Schizosaccharomyces pombe: one gene and its partners. The gene in region 2 interacts genetically with the main gene of each other region. Each region holds a gene or a part of one and is shown on either strand. Other genes may lie near its edges. The genes, in order: SPOM_SPAC22G7.03, ate1, his7 and osh42.

Region 1 (4,480 bases), 1.3 Mb from region 2:
ACAAGACTAGATAGATTTCGAAGATCCCAAACCTTAACAAATGGGTCTAGCATGTATGTGCCATGTCGCAATGAATAACCACATGATAATAAAAGGTTTCCAGAAGTGTCAATATCTGATATAGTGCCTGTATGCGCTACAACTTTATTGACTGGCTGAAAACTATTTGGGTCGCGAAGAATAATTTCACCATTTGTAGATCCACAACAGAGAAGTCTATTCCTTCGCATTATGAAAATGTCACTAACGTTTTTGTCCTATTAAATGTTAGTGATACAGGACACAAAGGAACATTACCTTATGAATTGAAATTCCTCGTTCAGCATTAACAACCGTAAGCTTTTGATGATATCCTCCTATAACAACTTCGGGATTATTACGACTCTGGTAGAACATAGCCCGGTAATCTATACAATCAGAATCCCTAGAGATTAGTACTGCATGTTTTGAACATAGAAAGCATGAATACAAAATGATCATAGATCGCTGAACACAAGGTACGGAACTACTAGATCAAGAATGCATATCATGATATACTTACTGATATCTCCATCTTATTGTTCCTTTGCGATTACTCAATCGTAAAGATTTACTAGAAAGGGAAAATACACCCCTTTCCTGTGGTAATACTTGGTGCACCGGACCCTCATGCCCAATGAATTGAGTATACGATGTTAGTGAGGGTCCGAAAGAAGATTTAATTTGACCCTAGAATTTACTTAGTTTCATAATTAATCTTTAATCTAACTTACATTTTTATGTCCAGTCCATACTAATTCTGAGTAGGGATCAAAAGCAATAGAACTTAAGGAACACGTCGATACACCATCATTTTCAGTTGTTTTGGTAATCTAATTTGTTAAAATTTATAATGGAATATTATAAAAATAATTACTTCTTTCCACGCATCCATCTCTCATTTCAAACAGTTGACTATAACCTCTTTCTCTAGGAGTTGAAGTGTTGGTCATAGCAAGCCAGGTTTACCTAATGAAAACTAGTAATACAACACAAACCTACGATTGTGATTTCAATCAGATATTAAATAGTTATATTAAACATTTGTATATAGTTGATAATCTGCAATGTTTTATATGCCTTTTCATTAGAACTAAATATTATATTAAGCGCCTGGTTATGAAAATTATAATGCAGAATGATCTTTTAAACTCATGCCACGAAAGCATGTATTAGCAAGCCAATCTACTAAAACTTTGTGTCTTCGATCGACTAATCGTCCTTCATCTTTCTCATGCGATTTTCTTTTCGATTCCCAGAATGTTGGTATCCATGTAGCATAAATAGTTTCTAAGCTAACGGTACGTTGTGTATCCTCATTAATTGAAATATCTTCAATAATAGGTATTCGTTCTTGTAAACCTCCTGTCTCACAAACTATAAGTATTTTACTATTTTGTAAGCAAAGCATCAAATACCTAGATAGGTAACGTCCATTTAAGCAACCCCTAATTTTTAGCAGTTTGGAAATATCTGCTATTCCCAGTATTAATTTTGCGTGCTTTAAACGTACTTCAACTATTTTTTCTAAATCATCCACATGAGAACAAGGAATCAATTGAATTCGTTCTAAAACTGATTGAAAATGAATGGAATAAGCTTCCTTAGCTAAAAATCCATCAAATGGATTTTCCATTCTTAGAATGTTTTCCATTGGATTAGTCGAACCTGTTGGATATACTAACACGCCTTCGTCCACATCATTGCACTCAAGGGCATTTACTAAAGTAAGCAACATAGCAGAGATACTTCCAGAATGAACAAAAATGGGGTATTCAATGCTCGTTGACCTGACCTTTCCCCCATTTCCAAAATGCTCTTTAATTAGTTGTTGCATTAAGTAGTATAAAGATAATTTACGTGTTGTGCTCAATAAATACTCGAAAATCTTAAAAACCAATTTGATCAAAAAATTTCAGCCTATTTACTTCTTTAAAAAAACGAATGTTATTTCTCGTAAATTTTAGAATAAGCAGCATTTTGCTTATCTTTTATTATACAAAGTTAATTAACTGGAGACTATGTAGCTTGGCAGTTTCCTACCAAGCTATTTTATTTATTACATGATTTAAAAGGTCCAGCTTGAATTGCCATAAGGAGTACTTTCTAGTCCTTTGCAAAGTATCCAAAATTGTTTTACTTTGTCTTTTATTCGTGCCCTAGAATTTGTTGTTAACAAGATAATCATTACATAGACGTGATGAAAACGACAAATAATGCTTACTTAAGAAGATCTGTTAAAAATCGACGTTTGATCTCATTTGAAACATTCCGTGAAGGAAATCCTTCTTCTTCAAGTGACTGAGTAAGGCATGCTCTTGTCGCAGAGAAATTTTGTGCCTTTAATTTTCCTAATATATCTGAAAGCAACGGTAAAGAGCTCCGTGATGCATTTCCACCGAACCCCTATAAATCAGTATTAGTTTGCAAAAAAAGCATAAATATTGTTTACCAATAGTATTTTAGCAATAAGAGGACTTCGAATTGCATTCACGAAATCTGTATGAGTGTTTAGGAGGTCGCTTTTTTCGGACGTAATGAATGAAATCTTAATGTTAATATTTTTAACAGATAATGATCACTTACAATAAATTGGCCGGCTGCTGATTCTAACAATCTCTCAGGCTTGCCAAGCAAATTAATCGCGCGGTTTAAAATAAGTTGGGTAAAATCTGGATACATCGTTTCTAAAAATGAGGGGTGTTTTTGAAGAATTATTGAAAAGAAGTGATATAATTCGACTGTAATGTCGATATTGTTCATAAATGATTCTATTTTAGTTAGTATGGCACATTGCTGCTAATTATTTACCTTCATTGATTATAACAACAGAATTTTGAATCGATGAGCACATATCAATTAGCACTTTGTCAATAATATCAGTCTGGCCGTAAGGACATGTCAAAATTGCTGATCCCAACGTTAGCAAAACTGCTGCCGGAAATTCTGTAAATCTGTCACAGAAGTATTGAATGGTAGTTACTATAGGCAATGAAAATGGAGAAGGCTCTACTTCATTAAGACCAGCAATCATAATCTTGCAAATTAACTATATCATATTAGTATTTTCGGTTTAACAGATCACCTACCCCAACGACGTCGGAATACTGTAACGCCATAGACTCGGAATGGGTCAAAAAGGAAATGAGTTTTGCTTGAAATTCTGCAATGCACGATTGCTGCCAAAAAGTTGTTTCCTGGGTAGATTGCTCAACATCAATTATTGGACTTTCGCCAATTGGACTCTGACTTAAGGCCACTCCGGCTACGCTTTGGAGGCAGGATTTCAAAACGTTTTCGAATATTTCAAGATTAGGATATAAACTTGGTTGAAGTTGTGCGAGAATGCAGTTTAAAAGTCTCATCAGATAACTGATTCTTAATTCAATATCTTCTATACGTTGTGTAACATATCCAACGGAGCTATAAATCTTTTCTAGCACAGAAGGTACATATACCAGCTTGGGTGTTAGTTCTTCAACCACCGCCATGAATCCGTCGATTTCAGTTAATAGATGGGATGCACAAGTTGTACATAGAGTGTGTATTGAACGAGAGACAGTCATTTGTATTGAAGTTTCAGAAATGTGTAAGGCATCGAATAAAACTGGCAAAGATATATTAAGATATTGAGGGTGATTTTGAAGAAAGCAAGAGCAACTGCTTAATAATTGAGAACAGGTTTTTAATAGTTGCGGGTTTTGGAAAGCCGAAGCCTTTATAGCAAAACTCGTTTCAAATAACCGAGTAAGCCAGGCATCTAACGTATCACTGTCATTGGTGTCGTACTCTAAAATACAACATAAGCAATAAAATGAAACCTCTAATGATTGAGGGCTTCCTGTACCATCCGAGAAGAAATTCTCAATAGTCGTTATATACATAGCATAAAGCCTTTCTCCAAAAATGGAATAAGAACTTTCTAAAAGATCACCCAAATCACGTCTGTAACTATTGAATGAATCACGCGAACTAGAAGGCCAAGAATTCCATTGTTCGGGGGAGGGTAATAACATTTTCCACCATGCTTTTTCGACTACAGAAAATGCTATTTGCTTGAATATTTCATCCTTTGAAGGATCCGTAGCAGCTTTGCTCATCGAAAAATCCTCAATTAATGTCGTCCAGAATTCCAGAGTACGCCAGCTAACTTTTTCTTCTACTATTGCGTACCCTGGAAAACTAAGTAAAGAGGCTAAAATATACAACAATCGAATGGATTTTTCTTCCTGAATATGATCAATGATTTGTGGCAGCATTGCTTCGGCAAATCCAATAACAATGTTAAGAAAGGAATAATCATTTTCTTCTCCGCTATCAGGATCTTCTAACTCTTGTTGCAAATGAGTTTCACCCCACGGTCCAGTTAAAATAGTCCAAAGTCTTTCTATTGTAGGTTGTGTAATAAAATTGCTATAGTTCGCGAGAAGATCCGCAAGACAATTCATCGCTTTTTCGGAAA
Region 2 (5,385 bases):
CGCATAATATCTTGAACTTGCTCAAGAGTCAAAGGGTCGTTCTTTCTAGTACTTATTAGCTGGTACAAATTGCAATCGAGAAACTCCATTACAATATGTAAACATCGAAATTGATCTATATATAAATCGAAAATATTAACTATATTTTCATTTTCGGAAAGTCTCAACAAAGAATGTACCTCGCGCAATCTGGTAGCATCAGAAACCTTAGCCAGCTTTTTCTTCATACTTTTTATAGCTACTACTTCTTTAGAAGGAGTTTTAGTAGTTGCAAGGTAAACTGAACCGAAGGTGCCATCTCCAACCTTTCGCACAACATTATATACTTCATCAATTGAAATGCATTTGCGAACCTCCTTGGTATACTTTGGTTGCTTGCCTGTAAATACGGTATTCGTAGTTGGAGTACCCCACAAATACTTCTTCATAATATATCCGCACAAAAATCGAGTTTAGGTACAAAATAGAATCAGTGAAGCACCTCAACAAAAAAGATAAAACATGCGAAATCCTGTAAAAAGAGATATAAAAAAACTTTGTTGCAAAGGCAATATTATACTTGAGAAGCAGCTTCCAAGTAGCATACAGCTTAAACGCAATAAAAATCAAATCAAAATCAGTGATTTTCAATAAAGAATGAAATTGAACAAGTAAATACACCTCTCTATACAAGTATTTATCGTTGAGAAATGGTGTAACTTATTCAAAGAAAAAATGGAAGCGGTAAATGGATTTAAGCCTGTATTAAGAAAATCACAGTGCAAATTAATGAATTCTTTATACAAATGGTACAAAAATAGATAAAAGAACAATCCCTTATTACAACACCTTGTTTTAGGAAAGTAAAAGTAAAATAACTTCAAAATGGCATTCGAAGAAAAAATCAGTGCCTAGAAGTTGAATTGTAAGCCAACCGTGATTAATTATTTTTAAAATGCAGTCAACCCAATTTTGACACGAAATGTCATCGAAATCTGGTGTTTGCTAATACTCTATAGAATGAGAACCTAGCAGTAACACTTGAGAAAGAAAAAAGAAGAACAATTAAAGTAAAATCTCTTCTCTAAATGATAAAATCCTTTCTCACCTACTATGCACTGTTTTGCGATTATATTAAGTCGTGAAGTACCGGTAAACCCGTTTTTGTGTTTGGTTGCAAACAACTCGTAACGGAAAAGCCCACTAAGTTATGTTAGGGTGACATTTTAGGTAGCGTGCAGTTATAAATAATTACAAAATAAATATATAAGCCGGCAGTATTTTATATTATTAGAAATGCTATCAACTTCGATTAAGGGACATAAAAGAGGAAACTATCACACATAAGTAGTAGCATAAAATTAACTTAATTCTGTAAGTCACATTGTAAAATTTACTCTCAAAGCCATCCTGGAGTTCATTAAGATTTTTAAGTAGGATGTTCATATCTTAAGCAAATAAAACACGTAGACAGATAATATATCAACTAGATAAAACAAGTGTATAACTCTTTGCGACTTCTTCGCCCACAGCAGCATTGATTTCAACAAACCAATGTTTAACCTGAGGGAAATAACTTAAAACATGCTGAAGAATTAGCATTGTTACTCAAAAATAAAGACATACTCTTGTGGGGAAAGTTGAATTGCCAATGTTAGCAAAATTCTCCGAAACCAAGGACTCAGCAACATTTACTGAAAGAATTCCAGGAAGCTGTCGATTAAACAGTGTATAATCATCTTCGTTTTGAGATGAATCTTCAGAAGAATCGTAGTCAACAGCAGTTTGAATATCACTATTATTTTCATCCCCGAAACTTATATATTTAGGAGCACCAGTATTCCAAAGTGAAGTAAAGTTTTCAATTGGTATCCATTTATTTGTACCCTGTTTGTATTAGTTCAAGTTAAAATCGAATGTATACGTACGGGATTAAGCAGGTACGATGGACTATACGTTGCCTTATACTTCATTTTGGGACATGTGTGAATATAATAACCTGCAAGGTCAATCAACGTAATTAAATAAATGACATTTTAGCCTACCCATGTAGTAGTACCGATATCCGCATTCAAGAGCAAGCCAGATTTCACGGCAGGCACTAATCCTTCCCAGAGAAAACTTAGACATATCAGGATCATAAAACAGATAAACGCTAGAAACACCATGTGGTAGCAAGTCTAAAACTCCAACTGCCACAAGCCTTCCTTGAAATCGATACATCTGATGATAAGAACCATACTTTATCCCCTTGTCTTCATTAAATAAAGGAGAGTTGCAAAGAAACCTGCTAAATCCTTTTTTCGTGATTTCCTCTTCTTTCTCTAAATGAACTTGCATTTGATACTTTTTGAAGACTTCAAATTTCTCATCGGTGTAAGTGCAAGGCTCCATAGTTACAGAGTATTTTTCAGCTCCGAGCGATTCTATAGTTTGAAAGGCATTGTTCAAATAATCTGTGCTAATTTCGCTTTTCATAGGTTTTAATGGCTTTCCATTTACATATTTGACCCATTTTTTTATTGCCTTCTTTTGCTCTTTTGCAATTTTAAAATTATAGCTGTCGAGTCTTCAACATTCGGCGGTTAGTAATCAATCATATTTGGCGACTTATGCTAAGTACCTGATTGTATAAAGAGAACAGCAAGATGTTTTCCCGTTGGGTTTATATAAATAATGTCCTGAACGTCTTATTTTATATTAGCAATGTTAACTAATAAAGGTTTTTACCTCCATCCCAAATCAATCAATCGCTGGTAGTCCTGAGGTTAAATGTAGGTTAGCAAAATTTGCAAAAAGCAGAGTTATACGCTTACTTCACAACTGAGCTTTTCTGCTAATAAACCAAAATGCTCGGTCTTTCTTCCACTTTTACAATAACCACATTCAGTACTGACGTTGTACCCTGTGTACAACAGTTTATCCAATACCATACTATTGTTTGAAAATTTCCCTGTTTAATATTAAATGAACTATATCATCAGTAGTAAAACTCTTAGTTCAGTTCTTTTGCCTTTATTTTGAAGGCTCTTTGAGTAGGTGAACTAAGACTACACCAATTATTTCTTGAAGATTAAGTACCCTATTTTTCGTTGAGTGCATGTTTATAGAAATTTCCTGATTAATCATATTAAAAAGTCTATCACATTTTCATACGAATATCTAGAAAAAAACCCAAAAAATACATAGTTCTCTTGACACCTTTTACAAGAGTCAATGACAAAAGTGTATACGTCTAATACAACTATAACATGCACTAACGATAAACAAAACATATAAAAAGCGACTAATATTAATATTATCCACGATACCATCCACCAAGTTCTATATATATAAATTAAGTCTAAAAGGTATATCAGTAAACCGTAAATATGTAAAAGACCAACTTCAACAACTAGCACCGTCTAAAGAAAATTAAAGGATAAACAACTCTCAACTTGTCAATCCAAAGAGCGAATTAAAAAATTAGTCTGAAATTATTCTTCATCATCAGAGAAGAATGATTTGGGTTTTTCGGTGCCCTTGGGAGATTGTAACCATGCTAATTCTCTCTCTCTAGCACGTCTTTCTTTGGCCTTGATTTCATTTCTCGTCAATTTCTTCTTTTTGGTAGCTTTAGCCTCAATCTTTTTCAAATCTTTCTCCGACAGATCTTCAAACTTTCCATCGTCAACAGCGGTCTTGCCCTTACCGGTAACCTTACCCGCTTCTACATGCCAGTGTTCAGGACACAACGCAGAAACAAATTCTTCATTATGTGAAATCATAACGACCCCACCTTCCCAATCACGAATAGCAACAGCTAAACCACCTAATGCATCTCTGTCCAAAAAGTTTGTAGGTTCGTCCAAAACCAAAAGCTGGGGGTTATTCCAGAGACACGCAGCAATAACAACTTTAACCTTTTGACCGCCAGACAAACTACTAATGGGGCTGTAATCAGCAATGTCGCCAGGAAGGCCCACATCCTCAAAATGTGCCCTGATGTCTTCGGGAATCAATTCACGGAAACCGAGACCTTCGCGAGAAGATTCCATATCATCAAAAGCCTGTACAAACTTTTGAAACCCATTTTCAAGCAATATTTCTCGAGACACCCACGTATTGTATTTATGAGGCTTCCCAAACCATTTAATTTCATATTGAAATGACTTTTTTAGTTTTTGACGGCCAATCAAAGCTTCCACTCTTCTACGTTCGCCATTGACCGTAATATCACGCTGAAGCTGAGCACGGTCTTCTTCGGTAAGTTTTCGAGATTCCTTCTCTGAAACTTCGCGGTCCTGTCCTCCAGCATAACGCCATTGAATATATTGACTTGGCGTTTTTTCCAGATGTTGATCCAAGTGATGAAAGGCATGCTGAGCAACGTAACCCACACGCAAGTTGGGATGCTTGAAAACTTTTCCTTCTTGAGGGATTACTTCACCGATAAGAACTTTAATAAGCGTTGATTTACCAGCACCGTTAGGACCTAAAATGGCAACACGAGAAGATAAAGATAACCCAACGGTAACATTATCTAATGACTTCTTCTTCGCGTTGGGATATGTATAAGAAGCGTTTGTCATTTTTAATATGAGACGTGTGTTTGAGCGCACACCAGTTAAGATACCGGGAGGTGGAAAAACAAACTTCTCGTTTGTGGCTGTCAATGTATAGTATGATTTAGCTTCCGGTTTGACCTTGACAAAAGCTGAAAGATTACCTTGATAATAACCAAGCTTTTTTGCCTGGTTTTTAACACCTTCATAATGAATGATGTCAGTACACACGTGGTCCAAAAATGAAGAGTCGTGAGAAACTATCAAGCAAGTAATATTCTTTTGAGAGGTTAAATATGCTTCCAGCCATGCAATATTGGCAACATCAAGATGATTTGTTGGTTCATCCAAAAGCAAAATATCAGCTTTCTGCAACATGGCACGAGCCAACTCCAGTTTCATTTTCCAACCACCAGATAAAGAAGCAACAGGATTTTCCTGCATCTCCGCAGTAAAACCAACAGAATGCAAAGCATCAGCAGCTTCTTGACGGGTAACATTCATAGTCAGTAACGCCTTATCTTGAGCAACAAAGTCAAGGATAGCCATACTAGTATCCTCGCCTTGAAGACTATGTGCAACAAAGCAAGTTTTAACCTCATCAGGTGAGGGAAAGTTTTCAACCTTGTAATCACCAATAGCGCGTAACAAGGTTGATTTACCACAACCATTGTGACCAACAACACCGTATCGATGACCTCTATAAAGGTGAAGATTGGTATGACTCAGAAGCAATCTGCCACCGTATGCCAAAGAAAAATCAGTGTTAACTAGTTCCTCTTCCTCAATAGTAAGGTTTGAAATCCCATCAACAGAATTTAATGACTTATAGAAGGCGTGAAGGTCATCATATATCTTTGAT
Region 3 (5,048 bases), on a different chromosome or scaffold from region 2:
TCAAGAACTCAATAATAAAACGTACCTGAATTACAATTGCTCGACCTTTCTCCGAGAAAGTTACTTTGATAGGATCAGAGAGAAGATTAGCTTATAAGAAGATAGGTATCAACATCCGATCAATTTAATATCGGAGATCTGAACAACTTGTCTCATCATTTCCTTCTCCTGGTCGACTTTATGGAACTAAAGGGTTACAATTGCCATTCGTTTATTGATCGATAGTAAGCTTTCTTGATATCATTAAATAGGTTTTATAGTTATTTATCACCAAGTGTACATGTATTTCTAAAGTCATCCACTATGATTTAATCCAACGCCAATACAGATAAGTTTTAGTCTTTCAGTTATTTGAAGTTTCGATTCATAGGATTTTGAAATACAAGTTCAGCTGGCAATAGGAAACAGGTTAATTGCAATTAACAGAATATTACGAAATGTTGATAAAAATTCTAAATGCCGATATTGGTAGATGGGAAATTTGGTACCTGATATGTAGCAGAGTGACTTCATTTGCTCACTGATACAAAGCACTTGGCACGAGCAAACCACACTATAGGATGCTCTTATTTTAATAATTGGTGTCTAATAGTGCTTTTAAATACTTATAGAACATCTTCTCAATTCATATTATAATTCTTTCTTTTCCAATCTTGCATAGTTTTTAATCAACTGAGCAACGTGCATTGAAGATTTATTTCTTTGACGATAAAGCCCATACTTGGAGTATTTAAAACAAAGGTGTTGGAATTGGACAATATTTTAATCTATTTCGTCTTTTATTTTTTTTCGTAGTAACTTCTTTATACATAATGAATATCGACGAATGGCAGCGGATTGAAGAAACGGCGCCTGGAAATAAATGCTTAGCTAAGCTTAATGAATTGGAAAGTATATTAAAGGATGCAAAGAAATCTTGCCTAAAAGATCCTACTACATCTATGAAGGAATTGGTAGCATGCTCTGAAAAAACACAACAAGTTTTTGATGATCTGAAACGTACCGAGAAGAAGTTTCACACGTCTTTAAATCGATTCGGTAAAACTCTTGAGAAAAAATTTAACTTTGACTTAGAAGATATCAAGCTTCATTCATCGTTTGAAAGTAAAAAGCGTGAAATTGATACTGCTTTATCATTGCATTTTTTTCGACAAGGCGATGTTGAGTTAGCCCATTTATTTTGCAAAGAAGCTGGAATTGAAGAGCCCTCCGAAAGTCTTCACGTTTTTACGCTTCTCAAATCTATCGTTCAAGGGATTCGAGATAAAGATTTAAAGTTGCCCATCGAATGGGCCTCTCAGTGTCGTGGTTATTTAGAAAGAAAGGGAAGCAGCTTAGAATATACGCTTCAGAAATATCGACTTGTTTCTAACTATCTCACTACTAAGGATATTATGGCTGCGATACGATATTGCCGCACAAATATGGCCGAGTTTCAAAAGAAACATTTAGCGGGTAAGTTTAAATGATCATAAATATATTTAGGGAATTTTTGGTTTTTTTAACTTATATAAGATATCCAAAAGACAATGATAGCTTTGTTCTTTTGTTCCAGGAATGAGGTCCTTTCGGGTACAAATGACTCGCATGATTCCATCCATCATATAATATCAAACAACGCACAACTGAATATTCCCCAAGAGTATATTGATGTACTTGATCTTGATTGGAAATCCCTTGAACTTTTATTTGTTCGAGAGTTCTGCGCTGCATTGGGTATGTCCTTGGAATCCCCGTTGGATATAGTAGTAAATGCTGGGGCCATTGCTCTACCTATTCTGTTAAAGATGTCCAGTATAATGAAGAAAAAGCATACAGAATGGACTTCACAAGGGGAACTTCCGGTTGAAATTTTTTTACCCAGCAGCTATCATTTCCATAGTGTTTTCACTTGTCCTGTTAGCAAAGAACAGGCTACGGAGGAAAACCCTCCTATGATGATGTCTTGCGGTCATGTTATTGTCAAAGAAAGTCTTCGACAATTATCTCGAAATGGCTCTCAACGATTCAAATGTCCCTACTGTCCTAATGAAAATGTTGCTGCAGACGCTATTCGTGTCTACTTTTAAAAGGAATTTAAGATAATGATTTTATTTCAACTAAATTAAGAGTATTATAAATGCCACCAAAAGACTGTTTCCTAACCAAGCAAGGATTTCGCTATGCCAACGAGAATCCTAATTTGCGAAAGTGGTTTCAAAATAATGACTTAAAAAATTGATGGAAGTATTTATGAAGCTAAAAATTACTGTTTTTATCTTTGATGATTCACCTACTCTCCCTACTTGAGATCTCTTTTGAGTCAGAAAATCTGACGCATTGTAACCTGGTTACCTAAAGGTGATTTATGATTGTTACTTGGGGCGATGTGAATCTTTCGTTTGCCAAACAGAAAAGTAGTTAGAGTTTTAGGGGTATTTGACTTACAAATGGCTCTTTTACCATTTTTTGATCTTACGAACTTTGAGAGTGATGCTTCTGAAGAGTTAGGATGGCTTAAGTACGTCGGCAGAGTGCAAACAAGAGTGTTTCCTCAGCATTTCAAAGATAATCTCGAAAAAGTTCGCAAAATTTCGGAAACGATTGATGTGATCGTTGACACGACTGCTGAACTTGGACCAGAGGCCTGCGTCAACCTTTTGAACGCTGGTGCACTCGCCATACTGGTTAATGAAGAAATGCTAAACGAGTTGGCAGACATCTCTCCGAATCGTTTGGTTTTGAAGACAGACACTACTGATATTGGAAAAATTGAAAAACTTTCACAAGTTGCTGGTTCTATTCAATGGATCGGCAGTGCTGAGAATTATCCCCCTGACTTTTTTGAAAGAGCCAGCAAGATCATTCACAAAGCTGTAATGCCTGAGGGTGGAGGCCGAACTTTATATTTGGAGTTCCCCGAACAACCATCTATGGAGGTACTGAAATCTTTTTCTGTTCACTCTGTCGTTCCCGTTCTGTCAAGTTCTTTCTTGACAGTGAAGCCTGCCGAAGAGCCCAAGAAGTTATCATTAGCTGATCTCATTTTGATATCTGCCAATACTGATCGTGAGGATGGACTATTTTCTACTTTAGTCGTCAATGAGCTCGGTATTGCACTTGGTCTCGTGTATTCTAGCAAGGAAAGCGTTGCTGAGTCTTTGAAGACTGGCACTGGAGTTTATCAATCCCGCAAACGTGGCTTGTGGTACAAGGGCGCATCTTCTGGTGCTGTTCAACACTTAATTCATATTGACGTCGATTGTGATGAAGACTGCTTGCGCTTTGTCGTCTATCAAACCGGTAAAGGTTTTTGTCATCTTGACACCTTGCATTGCTTTGGACAAGCTTCAGGACTTTGTCAGTTAGAAAAGACTTTAATCGATAGGAAGAATAATGCTCCTGAGGGATCTTATACTGCTCGTTTGTTCTCCGACCCAAAGTTATTGCGTGCAAAAATTATGGAGGAAGCTGAAGAGTTGTGTGATGCTACCACCAAAGAGAATGTTATTTGGGAAATGGCTGATTTGATGTACTTTGCCATAACCCGCTGCGTCGGTTCGGGTGTTAGCCTTAATGACATTAGTCGTCATCTTGATTTGAAACATCGTAAAGTTACAAGAAGAAAGGGAGATGCTAAAGTTGCATGGCAAGAGAAACTTAAAGACAAAGGAGGAGTGGCAAACACGTCTTATACTGCCTGAATTTTTTAAATTTCTACTCTTCATTCGCAGATGATAGCAGTCGGTCTAAGGTGTAGTCTACTAAAACCTTGCTAATGCGGAAATTTTTACTTTGTGTAATTATTTAATAATGAAAAAAAATTCATATTTGCTGTTTGTACTAATATTATTTGTTTTATATTGTTTAATTTGAGCGCTGGATAGATAATAACTCAGACTTCATTAGCCACTGGCTGGTATTTGTTGCTCGACTTATTCCTACCAAATATCGACCTTGTCGCTGTGTATACCTTCTGTAATACACTAGAATTAGTTGAACTCTCTGTTTCAACATCATCTGCTTCACTGAATATAAGGCTCTTAGGCTTTTTCCATCTCCTGAGAAGTAAGCTACTTGCAAGAACACTAAGAGAAGAAAACATCATAGCAGCACTAGCCCACATAGGATTTAAGTAGATTCCCCATGGAAGGAAGAAGCCCATTGCAATAGGAATCATGACAAAGTTATATATGCAAGCCCACACAAGGTTCATTTTAATTCTTTTAACGATAACTCTAGACAAATCAAAGGATACTGCGGTATCAAGTAGAACGCCTTTACGTACAAGTATTACATCTGCACTTTCTAAAGCAATGCCTGATCCATTAATGGGAGCAATGCCAACATCAGCCAACACAAGTGAAGGCGAATCATTTATACCATCACCTACCATAGCGACACAATGCTTCTGATCTTTTAACTTCTGAATAATTTCAGCCTTTTGAGAGGGAACTGCTTCCGCGTAAACATCAGAGAAATCGATTTCTAGTCCTTGGGCAACGCGTCGGGCAGTGGCTTTTTGATCACCCGTCAATAAACAAACCTTTTTACCTAATTGTTTTAAAGCGGATACAGTTTGGTACGAGTCGGGCCGCACTTGGTCCATACAGCCCAAGAAACCTACAAACTGGCCATCGATAGCGATACGAACACAAGTAAGCCCACTACTAGAAGAAAGCTTCAGCTTTGAATCAAAGTCATCAGGTATCGACACGTTGTTATGTTCCAGTAACAGTGAATTCCCAAGCAAAGCATGAAAAGTCCGCTCTTTCCACCTAAGTACAACATCAACACCTTCACCTGGCACAGCATTGAATGATTCAATTCCAATTTCAGAAACATCGGTAAATTCTGAAGCTTTCTCAGTAATAGCTTTTCCAATTGGATGTTCACTTGAAGACTCTGAAGCTTTAACAAAAGCCCAAAAAATATTCTTAGGAATGTCAAGTAATTCCTCCAAATTATCTACAATGCTTATGTCGGTGACACTTAGCTTACCCACTGTAAGTGTGCCTGTCTTATCAAAGACAACAGTGTCAACCTGATTTAGACGCTCTAAAATTTCA
Region 4 (5,850 bases), on a different chromosome or scaffold from region 2:
TATGAAAATGAATTTGAGCACTACGGATTCATAACGTACAAATCATCTTATATAGCCCATGATACCGCCCGCCATAATTCCAGAGTTGCTGGTGCTTCAGTTAGTATGGCTCCAGAACCTTCCGACTTCTTATGGGATAATTTGTCATTGGCGTGGAGCACAAGGTTATTCAATCGAATGATTGGAAACATATTGTTTATCATTTTAATTATCGCTTGGATTATTGAAACCGCTTTGGTTGCAATATTCATATCAAATTTATATCACCTTGGTAGTGTTTGGCCCTGGCTTCAGCAGCAGCTTACATCTCGTTCCGGTTTTTGGTCAATTGTGCAGGGTATTTTGAGTCCTGCAGTTGCGGGTTTTACATTTATGATTTTGGAAATAATCATGAGACGTATCTCCTATTGGCAAGGAAGTTTCACTAAGTCGTCTAGAGAACGTGGTGTTTTAAATAAACTACACATCATTTTCACCCTTGACAACTTCATCATTTATACCTTGATGGCTGTATTCTGGAGACTAGGTGTAATTATTGCCTATAAAACTAAGGAAGAAGGTAACTTTGCCGAAGGCATGTCGGCGTTTGCAACATTTGATACTGTTGGTTTGTCAGTTAGTTCTTTTGTTCAATTTTCAACCTTTTGGATTATGTTTATCGCTCACTCTACTTGTTCTTTTTTTGTCGAAATTGCTCAACCTATAACCTTGACAATTCGATTAATAAAGACAAAGTTTTTTTCTCCTACTCCTCGAGACTTACTAGAGTGGACCGCTCCAACCAAGTATGTTTACAGTCAAGTTCTCAACAAGTTAATATACTTTTTTACTATTGCTATTTGTTACGCTTGCATAAACCCTTTGGTCCTTTTGTTTGCAAGTGTATTGTTTTGCGTCAATTACTTAACACAAAAATATATTTTGATGTACGTATCAAATTCCTCAACCGAAAGTGGTGGTGGGTATTGGCGCCCAGTGGTGAATCGTATTTTACTGGGATTAGAATTAGCAAACATAATTCTGTTTTTATGCTTGTGGGTACAGGGAGGTCGTGTTCGCGCTTATTGCATAATTCCAAACTTTTCCTTTGCCATTGCCTTTAAGATATGGTGCATGTTTGCTCTTGATCCAAAATCTCATTACATGATTGAGGATCCATACATGAAGGTTGTGGAGCCCTTGGAAAATGAGATTAGTGAAAGTGAAATGTGCTTTGGTCATCCATCCACCTATGCCCCATTGCTCGTGCCGATGGTTCGATCTGATGCTCGTGCACTTCTTCCCTTGTTTTACAGCGGACGTACGGAAACACATAACAAGTTTGATTTTGCTACTGACTCTGATGATGCTTCTGAGAAGCACTTACGTGGTGAGGAAGAACCATTAGAAAACGTTGATTTTGTTGATATTGATAATGTGGATACAGCCAAAGAAGTGCATGATCAGCAACAAGTTCAGCAACTCAAGAAAAATTTGTCCCGATCTTATACTCGTAGCCGTGGTGTTTCTTTAAGAGCTAGATTGAATGAGGAGGAGCTGCCTTTAACAGAATCTATTACCCAAGATTCTCAAATTAGTATACCAGAAACTCTTGAATCCCAAAGTACGGAAATTACACCAATCAATGTCTCCGAACATTATGATAAATATTACCACATTTTTTAATGGTAACTTAAACTTTTCCTTGGAATTCGAGCTTTTGTACAAAAACTTTATAACTGTTCAAATTTACTTTGGCAAAGATACATATTTGAAAACTTTTTATTTCCTTAATTCTCAACCGATTTTGTTTTGCTTAACATTTGTTTTCTATGCTCCGTTTCTTATTTGTGAGCTCTTGAGAAGAATTTAAGTGTGCTTGTATTCTTTAGGTCTCTTCTCCGACCTTTTTAAATGAAGATGAATCACCTAGATTTTGTTGTGGTGTTTACTTGATTATTTTGCGTTTGATTCATTCATTAATTTGATAGCCATCTGTTTGGTTATCTCTTTTGCGTTGTTTTCTTTCGTTCTCCTTATATTTTCCCTTTGCTTATTGTTGTTTATGTCTGCATACCTTTCTTTTCATCCCATCCCAATTTTTTTTTTTTTTTTTTTTTTTTTTAACATTTCTTGTCATAAGATCATGTTTTTTGTCTTTTCTTATTTCGCACAACTTTTTATACCTTTGCAACAAATGTCATTTTTGTTGAAACGAACATGTGATTTATCGTTCGGCAATAGCTAACTTTATGTTAAAATCAATTCTTCCCAACAAGATTACTTTTCCCACCATAACCTTGTAATTATAACAGATAGTTTGGTACATTTGAATAGATTGCTTTGACAATAATGAGTAGTAGTTTGTTAGAAATGGAGGCGCGCTTGAAGTTTTTTTGTACTTTAACTGTTTAAATAATTAAATAAACAATTAGTTTCAACAAACATCGATTATGTTAAAAAGTCGTAAAAACATGCGTCTACCAGCTGGCAGTTTCGAATCTGCTAGGTATAAATATGCAAGGCATACAACCTTTCTATGTAAAAAATATTATACATAATGTATTAAAGAATGCTAATCAAATAAGAAAAGCTTCGTATGTATTTTGCTTGCTCATAAATAGTCATTTATTTACGATCCTTCGTGCCTTCTACTGACCATTTTGCAGCTTTTATATACCACGATAAACCACGTTAAATAATTTAAATAATAAAGTCATTACTGCAGTATAATTACAGTGCAGAATGGTGTACCCTTTGTAAAATGACACTATTTTGACGTAGGAGAATAGTAGGACTGCGTTAAGCAAGAGCAGTCGAACCAACATCGCCCAATCCATGGTCTGTCGATTTTATTCTTTTACCAAACACGATAGCATTTAATTACACGATCGACAATGTCGGAAACATCAGAACAAATGGAAGAGACTGTGCAATCTGGTAATGAACCCATTTCTAAGTAAGTACCACATATGTTCTTTAATCAAATGTTTACATTTTACTAACATGTTTTTTCCTTATGATAGGAGCACTTGGATGGTATGAATTGTACTGAGTCCTATAAGATTGAAGGCATAATCAATCTGCTTTCAGCCTTATGCAAGGAATCTTACTTTTTTCTTTGACATTGTAACATTTTACTTACTTTTTCTTCAAAAAAGGGGTTCATCAAGAACTTGGCTACATTGTAAGTATATTCAGTTAAAAGAAACAAAATTGGAAATATGGTATCTTGAGAAAAAAAAAAGGTAAATTTGAACACGATGCATTCTTTTCCAACGGGAAATGTTCATTCGATTTTTAGTTTCATTCAAATCTATGTGATTTTTGTAAAAATTTGAAATATAAAAGGAACTTTTTTTAAGCGTAAAATTGCTTATAATTGTCTTATTTCCAGCAATTTGCCCGGCTTTCAAATGGCTGGCTGGTTTAGATAATGAAATAACGCGTCAAAATATGGACAAGTGCTTATTTTTGCTGTTGTTAAATTGTTTTTTACTCATGTTCTTTGCTTGTCATGCCTTTAGCTTTCATATTGATATGTGCTATTGTCCTTTCGAGTCTAACATTAAAGAGGACTTTCCAGCGCCATTTCTTAATTTTCCATCTCATAACTTTCTAGTTTTTTTCTTTTTGTTTTTCAGAGAGGAATTGTCTTTTTCTCATGTCGATTGCTCTTTTTAATCTGTATTTGAATACTAACTTTACTTCACAGTACTGGTGACTTGTCCACACTTTCAGCTCCTTCTTTCATTTTATCAGGGACATCTTTGCTCGAATACATGTCTTATTGGTTTGAGTTTCCTGAGCTATTCGTAACAATTGTCGATTTTCCCACTCCTAAAGAACGTATGCTGGCTGTTCTCAAGTGGTACATAACTGGTCTTAGTCGTGAATACGCATCCCGGAATAAGAACGTACGTCTTTATAAAATTTTATCATGTAATGTTAACCAAAATTTCAGTATGGTACTGAAAAGAAACCGTTGAACCCTATTTTGGGAGAGCTTTTTTATGGGTCATGGGATTCTAGCAAGGGTAAAGTGGAGCTTACTGCCGAGCAAGTATCCCATCACGGACCTGAATCAGCTGCTCATGTGGTTTGTAAGGAAGCCGGTATCACCGTTGATACGCATAATAAATACAGAAGTGGATTTTCAGGACGAACTGTATACGTCAACCAACTCGGCCAGCTTCGTGTTCATCTTGAAAAGTATAATGAGACATATTATATAACTCTGCCCAATATCTCCCTTGAAGGACTGTGGTTTATGGCACCTTATATTGAATTGTACGGTTCGACTTATATTGTTAGCAACACAAATTATATTACAAAGATCGATTATTCCGGCCGAGGTTACTTCAGAGGTACCAAGAATTCTTTCAAGGCTACTATCTTTGAGAAAAATGAAGATCCTGATTATATTGTTGAAGGTGTATGGACTGGCGAATCTAAATTGACTATTCCTAGTCTGAAAAGTACCATTTTTTTCTTAAGCATCCCTAGTCTTGAAGCTACTCCTATTACCGTCAAGCCTGAATCAGAAATGGGAGACTGGGAGTCTCGAAATGTTTGGAAAGAAGTGTCCGCTGCCTTAGCCAGTGGTAATTATGATATTGTAAGCTCGAAAAAGTCTACAATCGAACAATCACAACGTGATATGCGTAAGAAAGAAGAAGCAGAGGGAGCAGTTTGGGCCAGAAGATACTTCAAATGGGAAGAGCATGATAGCGATGCCAGGAATGCTTTAGCCCAAGCTGTTTTAGAAGTTATTGAACCAGGCTTCTGGATTTACATTGGTGACACTCATCCTTCATTGCCAGCAGGAGAACAACCTGTCAAACGGATGGAATAAATTTGTGTTACTTATATTTTTGTTTCTTAAATTTATGTGTGCTTTTCGGGCTGCTATAGTTTTCCGTCCTTAACAGTGTCCTTTTTTCTACTTTTGGGAGGATTGGCCCAAAAGCTCTCTTGGTTGTGCAATCAGGGCTTAAAATAATGCTTGAAAGTATATAGGTATCTTTCGCTCTTTAAACGTTCAACTGAAGTTTTACGATCAACGATTTTACTAAAGGTTCTTTTAACGGTTGGCTTTTAGTACGAAATCAGCACTTTTCATTTAGATTATCTATGCGGTATACTAGTTTATTACTTATATGTCGGTTACACATATGCATGTCAGGGAAAAAGCATTGCAATTTGATCTATACTCATTTCGAGATTTGGTAGTAGATTTTTTTTTTTCATTAAGTGATTTCTCGCTTTCTTTTTCAAGTTTATTTTTACATACTATTTGGTTTGTGATGTTTAGCTTGTATTTAATGCATTAATTGAAAATTACACTGTTCGGTGCATGAATAAATGTAGTGGTGTAGAGTTGGACTGGTTGATGAAATATGGTAATAATACCAAAGTAAATTGCTTCTGGTACAGTTAATAAATTAGCTTATAAGGCTAGTTCACCATTTATAATATTTTGTTACAAACGATTAAGTTGTTAATATTCATTGTTGAACGATTTTAAATCCTTTGAGACAAGTCTTTTATAAATTCAACGGAAGTACAGGAATGATTTGTTAGAATTGTACAACTATTGCAATTGGCTATTAATGAACGTGTTCAGTTCCAATTAAACGAATGAGGAAATCAGGAAAGCAACAAAGCGCATTGCCGTTTCCGAACGGAAAGTCCAAAAATCTAAGCAATAATAGATACACCGATATTAACCTAAATATTTGAAATGAAGCTGTTAATTTGTTTCTAAAAAAATAAGGGTATAACATCAGTAAACGAAATGAAGTTTCAGTATAAAGTGAAGATCCATTTTAACCATAAACGCAAAAGCTAAAAATTACAAAGGCAAAATAT

What was found.
Region 1: mutations in ate1 (region 2) and SPOM_SPAC22G7.03 together harm fitness more than expected from each alone (negative genetic interaction), as found in Schizosaccharomyces pombe (one large-scale study listed by BioGRID).
Region 3: mutations in ate1 (region 2) and his7 together harm fitness less than expected from each alone (positive genetic interaction), as found in Schizosaccharomyces pombe (one large-scale study listed by BioGRID).
Region 4: mutations in ate1 (region 2) and osh42 together harm fitness more than expected from each alone (negative genetic interaction), as found in Schizosaccharomyces pombe (one large-scale study listed by BioGRID).

What each region holds. Positions count from the first base shown.
Region 1 is NC_003424.3:729,313-733,792, reverse strand, and holds SPOM_SPAC22G7.03 (uncharacterized protein), read right to left. Parts: upstream 1,866-4,480; 5' UTR 1,856-1,865; coding exon 1,145-1,855; 3' UTR 1,034-1,144; downstream 1-1,033. Other genes in the region: poly(A)-specific ribonuclease complex subunit Pan2, read right to left, coding at 1-257, 298-424, 542-708, 753-851, 896-913; karyopherin Kap111, read right to left, coding at 2,087-2,177, 2,243-2,424, 2,471-2,566, 2,605-2,789, 2,830-3,067, 3,108-4,480.
Region 2 is NC_003424.3:2,075,819-2,081,203, forward strand, and holds ate1 (arginine-tRNA--protein transferase), read right to left. Parts: upstream 3,026-5,385; 5' UTR 2,913-3,025; coding exon 2,796-2,912; exon of another isoform or gene 2,742-2,795; coding exon 2,710-2,741; exon of another isoform or gene 2,669-2,709; coding exon 2,603-2,668; exon of another isoform or gene 2,549-2,602; coding exon 2,025-2,548; exon of another isoform or gene 1,979-2,024; coding exon 1,908-1,978; exon of another isoform or gene 1,867-1,907; coding exon 1,606-1,866; exon of another isoform or gene 1,567-1,605; coding exon 1,462-1,566; 3' UTR 1,289-1,461; downstream 1-1,288. Other genes in the region: serine/threonine protein kinase Pit1, read right to left, coding at 1-428; AAA family ATPase Elf1, read right to left, coding at 3,456-5,385.
Region 3 is NC_003423.3:2,039,528-2,044,575, reverse strand, and holds his7 (phosphoribosyl-AMP cyclohydrolase/phosphoribosyl-ATP pyrophosphohydrolase His7), read left to right. Parts: upstream 1-2,383; 5' UTR 2,384-2,429; coding exon 2,430-3,683; 3' UTR 3,684-3,843; downstream 3,844-5,048. Other genes in the region: gid2 (ubiquitin-protein ligase E3), read left to right, coding at 813-1,455, 1,516-2,069; Cu(2+) transporting ATPase Ccc2, read right to left, coding at 3,875-5,048.
Region 4 is NC_003423.3:557,319-563,168, reverse strand, and holds osh42 (oxysterol binding protein), read left to right. Parts: upstream 1-2,841; 5' UTR 2,842-2,876; coding exon 2,877-2,938; intron 2,939-3,005; coding exon 3,006-3,018; intron 3,019-3,140; coding exon 3,141-3,166; intron 3,167-3,694; coding exon 3,695-3,896; intron 3,897-3,943; coding exon 3,944-4,834; 3' UTR 4,835-5,342; downstream 5,343-5,850. Other genes in the region: Ca(2+) transporter Rsn1, read left to right, coding at 1-1,665.